3 linked regions of the Macaca mulatta genome follow. The protein of the gene in region 1 purifies or fractionates together with the protein of each later gene. This does not show direct contact. Links are inferred from orthologs where the notes say so. Each region holds a gene or a part of one and is shown in the gene's direction. Other genes may lie near its edges.

Evidence for each region.
Region 2: the proteins of TNFRSF10A (region 1) and CASP8 purify together in Homo sapiens (affinity purification with western blotting; 13 studies listed by BioGRID and IntAct, counting the BioPlex papers as one, with this or other methods). This does not show direct contact. The link is inferred for Macaca mulatta from reciprocal best matches to the Homo sapiens genes TNFRSF10A and CASP8.
Region 3: the proteins of TNFRSF10A (region 1) and CFLAR purify together in Homo sapiens (affinity purification with western blotting; 5 studies listed by BioGRID and IntAct, with this or other methods). This does not show direct contact. The link is inferred for Macaca mulatta from reciprocal best matches to the Homo sapiens genes TNFRSF10A and CFLAR.

Annotation. Positions count from the first base shown.
Region 1 is NC_133413.1:24,962,108-24,966,741, reverse strand, and holds the start of TNFRSF10A (tumor necrosis factor receptor superfamily member 10A), read left to right. Parts: upstream 1-1,771; 5' UTR 1,772-2,208; coding exon 2,209-2,514; intron 2,515-4,634. UniProt on the Homo sapiens protein: Receptor for the cytotoxic ligand TNFSF10/TRAIL. The adapter molecule FADD recruits caspase-8 to the activated receptor.
Region 2 is NC_133417.1:106,371,450-106,376,032, forward strand, and holds the start of CASP8 (caspase-8), read left to right. Parts: upstream 1-1,418; 5' UTR 1,419-1,749; coding exon 1,750-1,774; intron 1,775-3,960; exon of another isoform or gene 3,961-4,017; intron 4,018-4,583. UniProt on the Homo sapiens protein: Thiol protease that plays a key role in programmed cell death by acting as a molecular switch for apoptosis, necroptosis and pyroptosis, and is required to prevent tissue damage during embryonic development and adulthood.
Region 3 is NC_133417.1:106,216,593-106,221,046, forward strand, and holds the start of CFLAR (CASP8 and FADD-like apoptosis regulator), read left to right. Parts: upstream 1-1,549; 5' UTR 1,550-1,658; exon of another isoform or gene 1,659-3,110; intron 3,111-3,180; exon of another isoform or gene 3,181-4,388; intron 4,389-4,454. UniProt on the Homo sapiens protein: Apoptosis regulator protein which may function as a crucial link between cell survival and cell death pathways in mammalian cells. Acts as an inhibitor of TNFRSF6 mediated apoptosis.

The DNA of each region.
Region 1 (4,634 bases):
CCTTGGATTTAGTTTATTCTTCCTTTGCTAGTTTCTTAATGTGTACATTGTTTATTTTAGATCTTTTTTCCTCTTTGATATAAGCATTTACCATGATAACATGTCCTCTTAGCACTGCTTTTACTGCATCCCGGAAGTTTTAGTATGTTGTGGTTTTTGCTTCACTTATCTCCAGATCTTTTCTAATTTCTCATATGAGATCCTCTTTGACTCGTTGGTTATTTAAAAGCTTGATTTCTACATGTGTGAGTTTACTCTTTTCCTTCTGATGTTGATTTCTAGTGTCATATTGTGATCAGAAGTTTTAATTTCAGTTATTTTAAATTTATAAAGAATTACTCTGTGGTCTAACTTATGGTTTATCCTGGAGAATATTCCATGTATCTTTGAGAAAAATTGAATGCTTCTGTTTGTGGTGAACTGTTTTTTATGTCTTTTAGTTTCCATTAGTATATAGTGATGTCCAAGTACTCTACGTCCTTATTTATCTTCATTCTGATTGTTCTATTTTTGAAAGTGAGACAATTGAAGTCTCCAACTATTATTACAGTAGTGTAAATTTCTCCCTTCAATTCTGTTTATTTCCTGTTTTATGAACATGATGGATTGGATAAAAGGAATTGAGTGAAACAGAACTTTTAGTGGGAGGTTTTATTTTTATCTGACTAGCAGTTAGGGAGTGTTTACTGTGTCCTGTAGCTATTGGTGTCAAAGGATAAAATTTCTTTTTCTTTTCTTTTTTTTTTTTTAGACGGAGAGTCCCTCTGTTGCTCAGGCTGGAGTGCAGTGGCTCGATCTCTGCTCACTGCAACTTCCACCTTCTGGGTTCAAGCAGTTCTCCTGCCTCAGCCTCCTGAGTGGCTGGGATTACAGGCATGCGCCACCATGCCCGGCCAATTTGGTTTCTTTTGTATTTTTAGTAGAGACAGGGTTTAAGCATGCTGGTCAGGCTGGTCTCAAACTCCTGACCTCGTGATCCGCCCACATTGGCCTCCCAAAGTGCTGGGATTACAGGTGTGAGCCACCGCGCCCGGCCGAAAAGAAAGTATTTTCAACAAATAGTACCGGAACTCGGTAAAATATGGAGAAAAATGAATATCAATCAGCGTCCCCTTTCTCTTACCCACTCCTCAGCCCCAAGGTCGCCCTGGGAACCCTTCGCAGGCAGGACCGTGACTCGCCTGGCTTTCGGGAGGCTGATTTTCCGCTCCCTGGGCCCGCGAAGCGCTGGGTGCGGAGGAACTGCTGGAAAGGACCTGCCTCCACGTGGGACTGCCGCCAAGTCGCATCCCTGTCATGCACCAGGTAGTCCCCCATGGTTTAAGAACTCTCAAGACTCTTTAACAGGTTAGGAAAATCCAGAGGAAAGGCAGAATTGGGTCCCTCGGGCTTGCCTGACACCAGGGACAGTGGAGTTGAGGTGACATTTCACTGGCATGGAAACCTGAGACCAATAGCAGGATGCGCCGGGCTCGGTGGCTCACGCTTGTAATCCCAGCACTTTGGGTGGCCAAGGAGGGCGGATCACGAGGTCAGGAGTTCGAGACCAGCCTGGCCAAAACAGTGAAACCTCGTCTCTACTAAAAATACAAAACTTAGCTGGGCGTGGTGGCGGGCGCCTGTAATCCCAGTTACTCAGGAGGCTGAGGCAGGAAAATCGCTTGAACCCGGGAGGCGGAGGTTGCAGTGAGCCGAGATCGGGCCACTGCACTCCAGCTAGGCGACAGAGCTAGACTCCATTAAAAAAAAAAAAAAACAAAAAAAAAAACGCAGGATGAATCACTCGCCCGGTAGTGACGGAAGAGGCCGTAGAAGCCTCTTAGAGGCCAGATTCCGCGGTGGCGGCCTCTGTGCCCTTCATTCCGCTACCCATCCGTCCACCGAGTGCCTGCTAGTAGCCAGGAATCCGGCCACGGAGAGACTGAGGTCGACTCCCGACCGAGAAGCCTTGCGCTGGGACCAGTCGTTTTGACAGTAGCAAAACGACTCCGAATGCAGCAGCATCCACGCGGCGGCCGTGTTTGAGGAACAGAAGCTGAGGGCGGCGAGGGCGGCGAGGGCGGTCACAGAGGAAGGAAGTTCAGGGTTGGCCAACAGGAGCCGCAGGTGCCCCGAAAAGGGGGCGGGGTCAGGGGTGCCCTGAACTCCGAATGCGAACTTCTGTCTTATCACAGCCAAGCACGCTGCTTCTTAGATTGACCTGGCAGGATGGCGCCACCACCAGCTGGAGTAAAGCTGGGCGCGTTCCTGGCAGTGACTCCGAATCCGGGGAGCGCAGCGAGTGGGACAGAGGCAGCCACAGCCACACCCAGCAAAGTGTGGGGCTCTTCCGCGGGGAGGATTGAACCGCGGGGCGGGGGCCGAGGAGCGCTCCCTACCTCTATGGGACAGCAGGGACCCAGTGCCCAGGCCCGGGCAGGGCGCGTCGTAGGACCCAGGTCGGCGCAGGGAGCCAGCCCTGGGCTCCGGGTCCACAAGACCCTCAAGTTTGTCGTCGTCGGGGTCCTGCTGCAGGTGAGTCCCCATCGCGGTCCTGCCTGGGGAAAAGCGCGCCTGGCACCGGGAGGGGGCAGGGAGAGAGGGGGACACGGCGGGGGTGCCTGGCCCTGGTCACTTGTGGCGGGGCATGTCCGGGCAGAGGAGTCCGTCGTCGAAGTCCGAGGAAGAGCGGGGTCCCCGGGGCCAGGCAGGAGCGGCCGGGGCCTGGAGGGAGCAGAGCCCCCTCCCGCAAGAGTCTGGGTCCGGGGACTCCACCACGTTGGCCGCTGCCTAGCGCGGCTCCCTGCTCCCCACACTTCAAGATGTATCGGGACGTTTCAGAATCGATAGAGCTCAAGTGTGTAAACTTCCAAGCCACCTCCGAGCCACACCGGCTGCGTGAATGGGGAGCACCATTCTCCTCCCCACTCCCTCATTCCCTCCCCACCCCCATCCTTCTTTTCTCTCTCTCTCTCTCTCTCTTTTTTTTTTGAAACGGAGTCTCGCTCTGTCGCCCAGGCTGGAGTGCGTTGGCGCGATCTCGGCTCACTGCAACCTCCGCCTTCCGGGTTCAAGCGATTCTCCTGCCTCAGCCTCCCGAGGAGCTGGGACTACAGGCGCCCGCCACCACGCCCGGCTAATTTTTTGTGTTTTTGGTAGAGACGGGGTTTCACCGTGTTAGCCAAATCCGCCCGCCTCGGCCTCCCAAAGTGCTGGGATTACAGGCGTGAGCCACCGCGCCGGGCCCTCCATCCTTCTTTTCTTAGACAAATCGGTTAAACACGCAGCCCGGCAGAAAAAGTAACTTTCTCTCCGCTGCTTGTTTCTTCCGTTTCGAGTCCACTAAACACACCGGCAGCAGTTTCCTGCCAGCCACTTTCTTGCACATCAACAGGTACAGGGCAGTGAATTGACCACCAGGCAGGCAGCCAAGACCGGGGCACGCCCTTCCTTCAGGAGGCAGCGTTTCCTGTGAAAGCAATCACTCAGTCTGGAAAAATGCCAATACCTTCAGTTCTCTTTCAAGTTCATTAAGTCTCTATCAATTGTTCTCTTTCAGATTCCTTCTATGTTAAGGAAAAACAAAACAAAAGCCAAATTACCTCAAAGATAAACCAGTCTTACAAGTGTCGGTAAATTTTAAGTGTTTTTGTTTAACAAACTAAACAAAATCCAGGAAACCAATAGCATTTTGTAATCTCCAAATAATTACAGAATTTATGTTTTAAACATCAGTTTATATTAGGTGGAACCCACGGTTGATGCTTATTTTTAATACGCTTATTAAATGGCTTTCTTTTTGACAGGCTAGTGCGATTCCAGGTGGATGTAGGGCTCACCTGTGTAGACAAGGTCAAACATCTGAATTTGGTGGTTTTGGAAATGTGACAGTGCGTTTGTGTGGCTATAAAAAAATACTTGAGGCTGGATAATTTATAAAGAGGTTTATTTGACACATGATTCTGCAGGCTGTACAAGAAGCATGACACCAGCATCTGCTTCTGGTGAGGCCTCAGGAAACTTCCACTGGTGGTGAAGGGGAAGGACAGCTGGATTCTGCCCATCAGGGAAGGGGGTGGGGAGAATGGCAGGGGGAGGGGGATGATTTCTGAAAGGGGAGCGGGAGGGGCCAGGTTCATCCTAACAGCCAGCTCTCATGGAAACTAAGAGTGACAACTCCTGGGGGAATGTGGGAGGGGGCAGGTATGGCACCAAGCCTTTCATGAGGGATCCACCCCAAACCCCAACAGGCCCCACCAGCTACATTGGGGTTCAGATTTCAACATGAGACCTGGCAGGGACAAAGGACCCATAGCAGACACCAAGGCCTTCTTCCATCCCACAGGACCCTCTCATCCCACCATCCATCAGCCTTCTTCCTGTGCATTTATAGGTACTTTAGCTTTTAAAAATTCTGACTGAACAACAAATCACATCAGATGTTTTCTATCAGTCCATGCATGTATCTCATTTTCTTTAACAGCATCATAATATTTAGTGCATGGGTGAAACACATGGGGTGAACCACAGTTGATTTTAATCTTCCATCCTATGGGCAATTGTTAACATTATGTCCTGCCTTTGTTTTTACTAATTCCAGCAGCATTGTAGTGAGAACCCTTGTATGTATCATATGTCCATGTGTCAATATTCTC
Region 2 (4,583 bases), on another chromosome or scaffold:
TGGCCCAGCAGGACTGAGTTTGACTCCATGGAACTGTTTGAGCCTTAGTTTCTTCATCCATAACATGGGAGAACAATACCCTGAATTGCTGCAAGAATTAGAGATAGTTCATGTCAAGGTGTAACATACAGGTAATATGTTACTTCTGGTGTTCTGGTTATAAAATGTACAAGATGTGCAAGCAAAAGGGCAGAAAACCCTTTTTAAAAATTCATGGCTGGGTGTAGTGGCTCACACCTGTAATCCCAGAACTTTGGGAGGCCGAGGTGGGTGGATCACCTGAGGTTATGAGTTTGAGACCAGCCTGACCAACATGGAGAAACCCTGTCTCTACTAAAAATCCAAAATTAGCCACGCATGGTGGTGCATGCCTGTAATCCCAGCTACCCAGGAGGCTGAGGCAGGAGAATCACTTGAACCCGGGAGGCGGAGGTTGCTGTGAGCCGAGATGGCGCCATTGCACTCCAGCCTGGGTAACAAGAGCGAAAATCCATCCCAAAAAAAAGAAAAAAAAAATTCACATGGGAAACAGAGGCGGATGGCAGAGAACAGGGGAGTGGCTGGGCACGGTGGCTCATGCCTCTAATCCTAGCACTTTGGGAGGCCAAGGTGGGTGAATTCCTTGAGGTCAGGAGTTCGAGACCAGTCTGACCAACATGGTGAAAACCCGTCTCTACTGAAAATACAAAAATTAGCCAGGCGTGGTGGTGGGTGCCTGTAGTCCCAGCTACTTGGGAGGCTGAGAGGCAGGAGAATCACTTCAACCCAGGAGGTGGAGGTTGCAGTGAGCCAAGACCGCACCACTGTACTGTTACACGGACAACAGACTGAGACTCCATCTCAAAAAAAAAAAAAAAAAAAAAAAAAAGAGAACAAGGGAGGGTCTGGGGTTCAGAGCTTTGGGGAACAGACCTCAGTAGCACCAACACTCCAGGATCAATGCTACAAAGACACGGGTTACAACTAAACTGGAGAACATGGCCAAAGAAGGGAACTGAAGTGTCCTGGCTCAGCCCTATTTAGGGCTGTTTAGCTCTGTTTAGGGCTGAGCCAAGTAGGGCTGAGTCAGAACACTTCCTCCTTTTTTTGTGAACAGTCTACCTACATTTCAGCTACAGGGGTGGCTTCACCCAGTCCGTAGGGAGGGAGGAGAGGGCTGGTCTATGACTTCAGTGCTGAGGTTTGGATCAAGGCAGAGGGAAACTTCCTCTTCCCAGACCCTTTGCAAGGAAGAATGGCATATTACTTGTCACCGACAGGGGTTATGATTACTAAATGGAGTCAGTATAAATGCTTTCCAATAAAGCACGTCCAGCGCTCGGGGTTTTAGTTTTGCATGTCCATGAAATGTCTGCCACCTCCCTCTTCTGAATGGTTGGAAATTGGGCATCTGTTCCTTTAAATAGGAAACATTTCTTGTTCGGGTGAGTCATCTCTGTTCTGCTTTAGGAGTAAAATTTACCCTGCAGTTCATTCTGCTGTGAAGTTTTCTCTTTCTCTTGGAGACCAGGTTCTGCCCTTCTGCTGGAGGGAAGTGTTTTCACAGGTTCTCCTCCTTTTATCTCTTGTGTTTTTTTTTCAAGCCTCCTGAATTTGCTAGTCAACTCAACAGGAAGTGAGGCGGTGGAGGGAGGCAGAAGAGCCAGGGTGGTTACTGAAAGTAAAAGAAACTTCTTCCTGGGAGCCTGTCCCACCCCCTTCCCCACTGAGCACGTGGAGTTAGGCAGGTTAGGGGGCTCAGAGACTGCGATGGTGCCAGGAAAGGGTGGAGCGGGTGAGTGCCTGTTGCCGAGGTGGCCTCTTCAACAGGAAACCACATATTTTTGTTTCTTGAGTTGCTCTAGAAACAGGGCTGTGGGGGCGGGGAAGAAGCTTGGATCTGCCCGGCTGAGGACACCTCTGGGTGCTGCCTGGCCAGGTCTCCTGTGGGGTTTCTCTCTGAGCTGTTGCCTCTGATCTTGCTACTTTTTCACTCTGAGCAGTCTCCATTTCCTCTGCTGCCTTTTTGTCCTCCCAGCTTCCCTACTGCCTGGAATACAGATACACGGTCTCCCTCCTGTGAACCCGTTTGGAGAGTCCAGAAAACTTTATCAATCCACTTTTTTTTTCTTTTTCATTTGGCTCTGGGGCCGAGGGTTAAGTTCTTTATTCTGTCGAATCACAGTGCCCTGAGGTGCACAGACCGCTTACCCCTCTTCCGTGTCTTAAGGGTTTCCTTTTATGTCTCCACCCCCACCCCTGCCCTCCTGCCCTCTCTCTTGCTCCCCAAAGATAATTCTCTAATGTTTTGATGTGGATTCGTGAATTTATCTGTATCTTTGCAAAATGTATTTTTCTTTTGTATATGTACACTGTTTTTTAACTATGCCATCTCAGGCAAGTAAGTAATTCCTCTGTACCTCTGTTATCTCATTGTTAAATGGGATTAATAATGCCTTGAGAGGTGACTGTGAGGCTTGAAGGAGATAATACGCACACATCACTTACTACATGAGTTAGCAATTATTATTGCATATTAATACTATTGGCATTTTATTTTACTCATTCTGTTTCTATTTCTTTTTTATTTATTTATTTTTTGAGACAAGATCTTGCTTTGTCACCCAAGGCTGGAGTGCAGTGGTGCAATCATGGCTCACTGTAGCCTCGACATCTTGGGATCAAGCAATGTTCCCATCTCAGCCTTCAGATTAACTGGGACCACAGTCGTGTGCTACCACACCTGGCTAATTCAAAAATTTTTCTTCATAGAGATGGTGTCTCACTATGTTGCCCAGGCTGGTCTCAAACTCCTACGCTCAAGGGATCCTCCCGCCTTGGCCTCCCAAAGTGCTAGGATTACAGGCATGAGCCACTGTGGCCATCCAGGCATTGATGTTATCAGGCCACCTTGACCTAGCCCTCTCTGGTGAAGAGTCCTTTTCAGATACTTCATTCAGTCTTCTCAGCTATGAGTCCCTGCCCTCTGAAAGCTTATATTCTATTTGGGGAAAGACAAAAGGCAGTTTCAAAGAAGAGAGGTGCTTGATTTTCTTTTCCTACTTTTAACATCAGAAAACATTTCGTCTAACTCTCAGTATGAAGGCAATCTTTTGTTTACTGATCTGTCCCTAGAGCCCAACATGGTGAGGGCCCCAGGATTTGCCTCTTTGATAAGATGGTAAACCCATCTTGTGGCTAACTTCGTGGTGTCCCCAGCTACACTCATATACAAGGATCACCTTTGGTAAGATAGGGTTACCATCTTACCAAAGAGTTTTTGCATTTTAGAGGTTTTTCTTTTTAGATTTTTTTCATTTTAGAATTTTTTTATTTCAGAGTTTTTTTCTTTTTAGAGGTTTTTCATTTTAGAGTTTTTTCTTTTTTAGAGTTTTTTTTTTTTTTTTTTTTTTTTTTTTTTTTTTTTTAGAGTTTTTTAGGCGGCTGAGAGTGGAATCTGGTGACTTGGGGCCACAGAGATGCTCCTTGGCTAAACCAGGGGCTTTAGCTCTGAACGTTCACAGTCACCCTGAGAACCAAGATGAGGGCTCTGCGATGTCCAATCTCAAGACTTCTCCGAGGTGCTCCATCAAGATTCATTGAATGAAAAAATTAAAGTCTTAATGATGAACCCAGAAAAATCTTTAAATCCTAAATACGAAATGAAAGTGTTCTTAGTTACAATCCAGTCCAACGTCCTCATTTTGGAATGTGGAAATGAGGCCCCAAAGGTAAAATGGCCCATCATAGCCAGGGGCCAGTGCTCAGGTGGCCAGATGCCCCGCCCCACCCTGCAGGCAGTCTCTTGGACCATCAGGCCTTTTTCCTCCAGCTTTAGAAGCTTTAGAAGGTGCTCTGTTCACTCAGGGGCAAGTGGTAAGCGTTCCCTCCCCTCTAGTGTTTGTGACTTAGGAGTTTCGAAACAGGAAGTACAGCTGGCTGTGCCCTTCATCCTTCATTAGATGTTTGCTCTTGTCTTAGATGCTCAGATGGCAGTGGAGAGGCCTGTAACAAAGGTGTTACCATCGTGAGAGTAAGGTAAGGATTTGCCCCTTTGTTAAGGTCAGAGGGGCCTTTTGGGAGAAGGCCTTTGATTCTGGAGTTTTTTAGGCTGCTGAGAGTGAGGTTGGGTGGCCCTGGGGCTATGGAGGTGATCCTCATATGTGAGTGTGGATGGGAAACCATGAAGTTAGTGGAAGAGGTAGCAGTCCCTCTGAGAGCCTTGCCGAGGGCCGTGCAGTTTCCAGATCTTGAGGCCAGTCTGGCTTAGACTGATTAAGTGCTAGGAGTTTCTGAAATGCTGCCATTTACCTACTTGTATAAAGGCTTCATCCTGATCCCAGCTAAATTTGTGAAACAAAGAGTAGAAGCCAAAATTTAAATCTCAACTAACTTTGCTGCTACAGCTATCCTCCCACCAACACACATACCCACCAACATACACATTTGCCAACATAAACACACACACACATACACATACACACACCCATGTGGTCCTACTAATTCAATTATTTATGTTTTAAAGAAATTTAAAAAGGCTGGGCTCAGTGGCTCACACCTGTAATCCCAGCACTTTGGGAGGCCGAGGCGGGTGAATCACCTGA
Region 3 (4,454 bases), on another chromosome or scaffold:
GTTTAGTATTTAATTACATGGAAAAACCAACAAAACAAGACAATTATTAACTCCAGAAAAAACTAAAAGTTGTGTGGGAAAGGAAAAGTAATCATAGTTTGGTACATTAACTTGGCTGTGACTACCGTTTACATGATTGTAATAGCATATGTACTGAAGATTAATCAGAATCAGAATGTAACTATCTTGGGAAGATGGAGAGATTAAAAAAAAAAAGGTTGGGGGTGAATATGGGGTGAAAGTAATGGAGAAAAAGAGCTAAAGTCTCCTCTTGTGTCTCAGCACTCCACCCAAGGTAGAGCCTCTGAATGGAAGAAGGACTTTGCCACCTCTCCACCACACTTCCCCAGGATTTAGCTTCAGCATCAGGTAGCTAGGGGCAAGATGAGAAATGCTGACATGCTGGTCTCTGACTGGGAGCTGTGGGAAGACAGAGGTTCTTAGTTGCAGCCGTCTGGAGTGGAGTCTGTCTTGCTGCACAAAGGCAGAGGTTTGCTTTAAATACCACAAACTCTCACATTCTGATGCAAGAATTTTTATAGATTTTTTGGAATACATGTTTCTTCATTTGCTGTTTGCCCTTAGGACCATTTCAGACGCTTAAAATAGTTAATGGTTGTTTGTTGTTTTAAATAATTTTCAGTTTCACTAGGGGTGAATCCTGAGCTCTTCATGCCGTCCTGCAGTTAGTCTCTCTTGGTATTATTCTTCACCTTTCCTGTGAGTTTAAAATTATTTCAAGAAAAGTTAAAGCTTTTTAAGAATCACAATAAAGTAGATAGATAATAGGAATAAATAAAAACTTAGCGGGGCGCGGTGACTGACGCCTGTAATCCCAGCACTTTGGGAGGCCGAGGCGGGCGAGGATCACTTGAGGCCAGGAGTTGGAGACCAGCCTAGCCAACATGGTGAAACCCTAAAATTAGTCGGGCATGATGGCCTGTGCCTGTGGTCCCAGCTACTCGGGTGGCTGAGGGGGTTGGATGGCTTGGGCGCAGGAAGTCCAGGCTGCAGTGAGCCGTGATGGCGCCACTGCCTTCTAGCCTCGGCGACAGCGCGAGACCCTGTCTCAAGAAGGAAAACAAAAAACAACATACACACAAAAAAACCACAAAGTGCGTTCACGTTTGCTATGACTCCCAGACATCAAATCATAAACACTCGCGCCTGGCTGGGTGGCTCACGCCTGTAATCCCAGCAGTTTGGGAGGCCGAGGCGAGCGGATCACAAGGTCAGGAGTTCGAGACCATCCTGGCCAACAGTGAAACCCCGTCTCTAATAAACACAAAAATTAGCCGGGAGTGGTGGTGCGCGCCTGTAGTTCCAGCTACTCGGGGGGCTGAGGCAAGAGAATAGCTTGAACTAGGGAGGCGGATGTTGCAGTGAGCTGAAATTGCGCCACTGCACTCCAGCCTGGGCCGCACAGTGAGACTCCGTCTCAAAAAAGAAGAAAGCAAGCAAGCAAAAAAAAAAAAAAAACCCCAAAAAACCTCGCAGTGTTTACTCCTAACGCGTGGAACTTATGTCGACATCCACCCTCGGTTACTGCATACTCAGTCACACAAGCCAAAGCAGGAAACAGCGAGTTGGCAGCCTCACCGACGAGTCTCAACTAAAAAGGACTCCCGGAGCTAGGGATGGGGACTCGGCCTAACACAGTGAGTGCCGGCTATTGGACTTTTGTCCAGTGACAGCTGAGGCAAAGCCCAGGGCTATCCAAAGACCACGGGAGGGGGTGTGGGAGAGAAGCGCTGCGAACAGCCATCGCCCAGCACCGAGTCCGCTTCCGAGTCCGCTTCCAGGCTTTCGGTTTCTTTGCCTCCATCTTGCGTGCGCCTTTCGGGCGTCTAGGGGAGCTAAGGCTGAGGTGTCAGCGGCAGGAGAGTCCGGCCGCGACAGGACGGTACGTGCCCCACGCTCTACCCCCCGCCGGCGGCGCCGGAGCTGTCCCAGACCCCAAGCCCCGACGCCCGGCCCTGAGTCAGCGTTGCAGCAGGCCCTGAGCCGCCGCGCGCCCACGCGCCCACGTCCCACTCCTGCCGCTCCTCACAGCCCTGCGCTCCGGGAAACTGCAGGTGGCCGGCAGTGGCCAGGGGATGGCGGGGGCGCTTCTGGAACCTGACTCAGTTTTGTAGATTTCTTATCTCGGTTGTTTACCGCGGGCTGAGCGGAATGCCCCCGCTTCCGCTTCCGCCCCGCTCCGAAACCCCGAACCCTTTCTGCTGGCAACTCCGCCCCGGATTCCCAAAAAGGGGCGACCTGGGCCACTGCGGTCCGAGCTTCACCCCAATGGACCTGAGAGACCGGAAGTAAACCTTGGCTAACTCTAGCCGCCCCCTGCAGCCGCAACCGCAGAGGCCCACCCGCGAGCTTCAGTGGCGGGTCCTCAGCGTTGTGTAAACTTTGCTTAAAATGATCTTGAGAGTTCAATTCTTGGAGTGAACTGTTGAGAAGATCTGGCACTTTTCCTTTCGAAAGTTGTTGGGAACGTGGACTTTCCCAACAGTTGTGTGTGCGTTCGACCTCACTCAGTGGGAGCCGCCGCCCTGTAGGGAATTTAACAATAGCCTAGTCAGGGCTGTTATTTTCCAGAGCAGTTTAATATCTATTTTGCCCAAGTGCAAGGAAAGCTTGCCTTGGAAAAGCTGGGAATGCCTGACTGAAGAAACGTTTTTAGAGCCTTTTAAAATGAACCTGTTTCTGCCATTTTTCCACCGCTTCAAAAGGACTGGGAAATGTAAAATGACTTCAAGATGTTCTTACTTGAGAGTGTCCGGATTTGGACAGAAGGCCATGTTCTTTTAATATTAACAGTGGCACGCAGTAGAACAAAGGCCACTGAAATTCAGAATTAGTTTTTGGCTCCACGGAGTAGGAAGTAAATTCAAGGACGCCAGAGGTCTTACGAATGTTTTAATTGGTTGACATTTGAAATTTGTTCTTAAGCAATGAGGGGTGAAACCAGTAGGGGGTTAGCATATAGCATAAGTAAAGCGTTTTGAATATCAACAAACTGCAATAATCTAGAACTGAGAGCGGGCTCTGGAAGGTTTGACCTGCTTTAGAGAGAGATTTCAGATAAGAAGAACGGAGTTTTTGGCCCTTTTCGGGTTGGTGATTCCCCTAAATAACCTTACAAAAGTTTTGTTTAACAAAAAACCTGGCTCGAGCTCCAAGATCTTTTTTTTTTTTTTTTTTTTTTTTTTTGAGACAGAGTTTCACTGTTGTTGCCCATGCTGGATTGCAATGGCACAGATCTCTGCTCACCGCAACCTCCGCCTCTCGGGTTCAAGCAATTCTCCTGCCTCAGCCTCTCAAGTTGCTGAGATTACAGGGATGCACCACCATGCCCTTAATTTTGTATTTTTAGTAGAGACGGGGTTTCTCCATATTGATCAGGCTGGTCTCGAACTCCCGACCTCAGGTGATCCGCCCGTCTCGGCCACCCAAAGTGCTAGGATTACAGGCGTGAGCCACCGCGCCCGGCCCAACTCCAAGATCTAAACAAAAAAGACTGGGTCGAAAGGGAGTTTTGAATGTTTACTGTTTGCTTTACATACATTTAATGTTTGTAAATGTTTGCTTTACATACATTTTCTTGTTTTGTTAATACTTGTTTTACTTACAGCTTTTGGGTCAAATGTCCTCGTTAAAATGGCTTTCTCTAGCGACTTTATGTTTTACGTTTCTGTTTGTAACTGACATTTGACCTCCTTACTTGCTTCCTTACACCGGTTACTTGCTTCCTTATACTTGCTTGCTTCCTTGTACCGGTTTCCAAGGTGAAGCCATTTGCAGGGTCGCTGGGTTTCCCCCTACCCCCGAAAGTCTTGCATGACCCGGGGTGGGCGGGATTACGTGCAGTTTTTTGAGCCTTGGGCTGGGGGCCTCCAGGAAGCTGAAACGGAAATTGCCTAGGCCCCTGGGGCATCGGAGGTCCTACCGCAGCTCCTAGTAGGTGGTGGGGGCGCACCGGCGGTCCCCACTCAGTCCTGGTGGGGCCGCACGTAACTGTCCTGAGATATGCATAAGCCCTTTGACCACGCATGGAGAATATCACCACCCAGAGACACGCGAGTGGCCCTGTGCAAGTTTCAACTGCGCGGGGGCGGGGAATTCCGCAGACAGGATTCGAGAATTTATGTCTTGTAACATTTCAGCCGGTGGGCGGCGGGGATTAGGCGTGAAGCGGTTCAGTAGGCAGAGGTTTTCGGACGCCCTCCGGCGAAGCCACCTGTTGATATATTTGACTTTCTGTCCTCGTTCCTCATCCCATCTGGAGCATTTCCAATTCTGCTTTTGCGGAGCAGCAGGTCTGAGCTTGTACGGCGAGGGTGGGAGTTGGTCCCGGCGGAGATCCAGTGGGAAGAGCCGACGGCTGCCCGGGCGTGAGTAGATGAGAATCCTGCCCGATCCCCGCCCCGGGGCTGGTGTCGCCCTGGGCTCCTGAGACG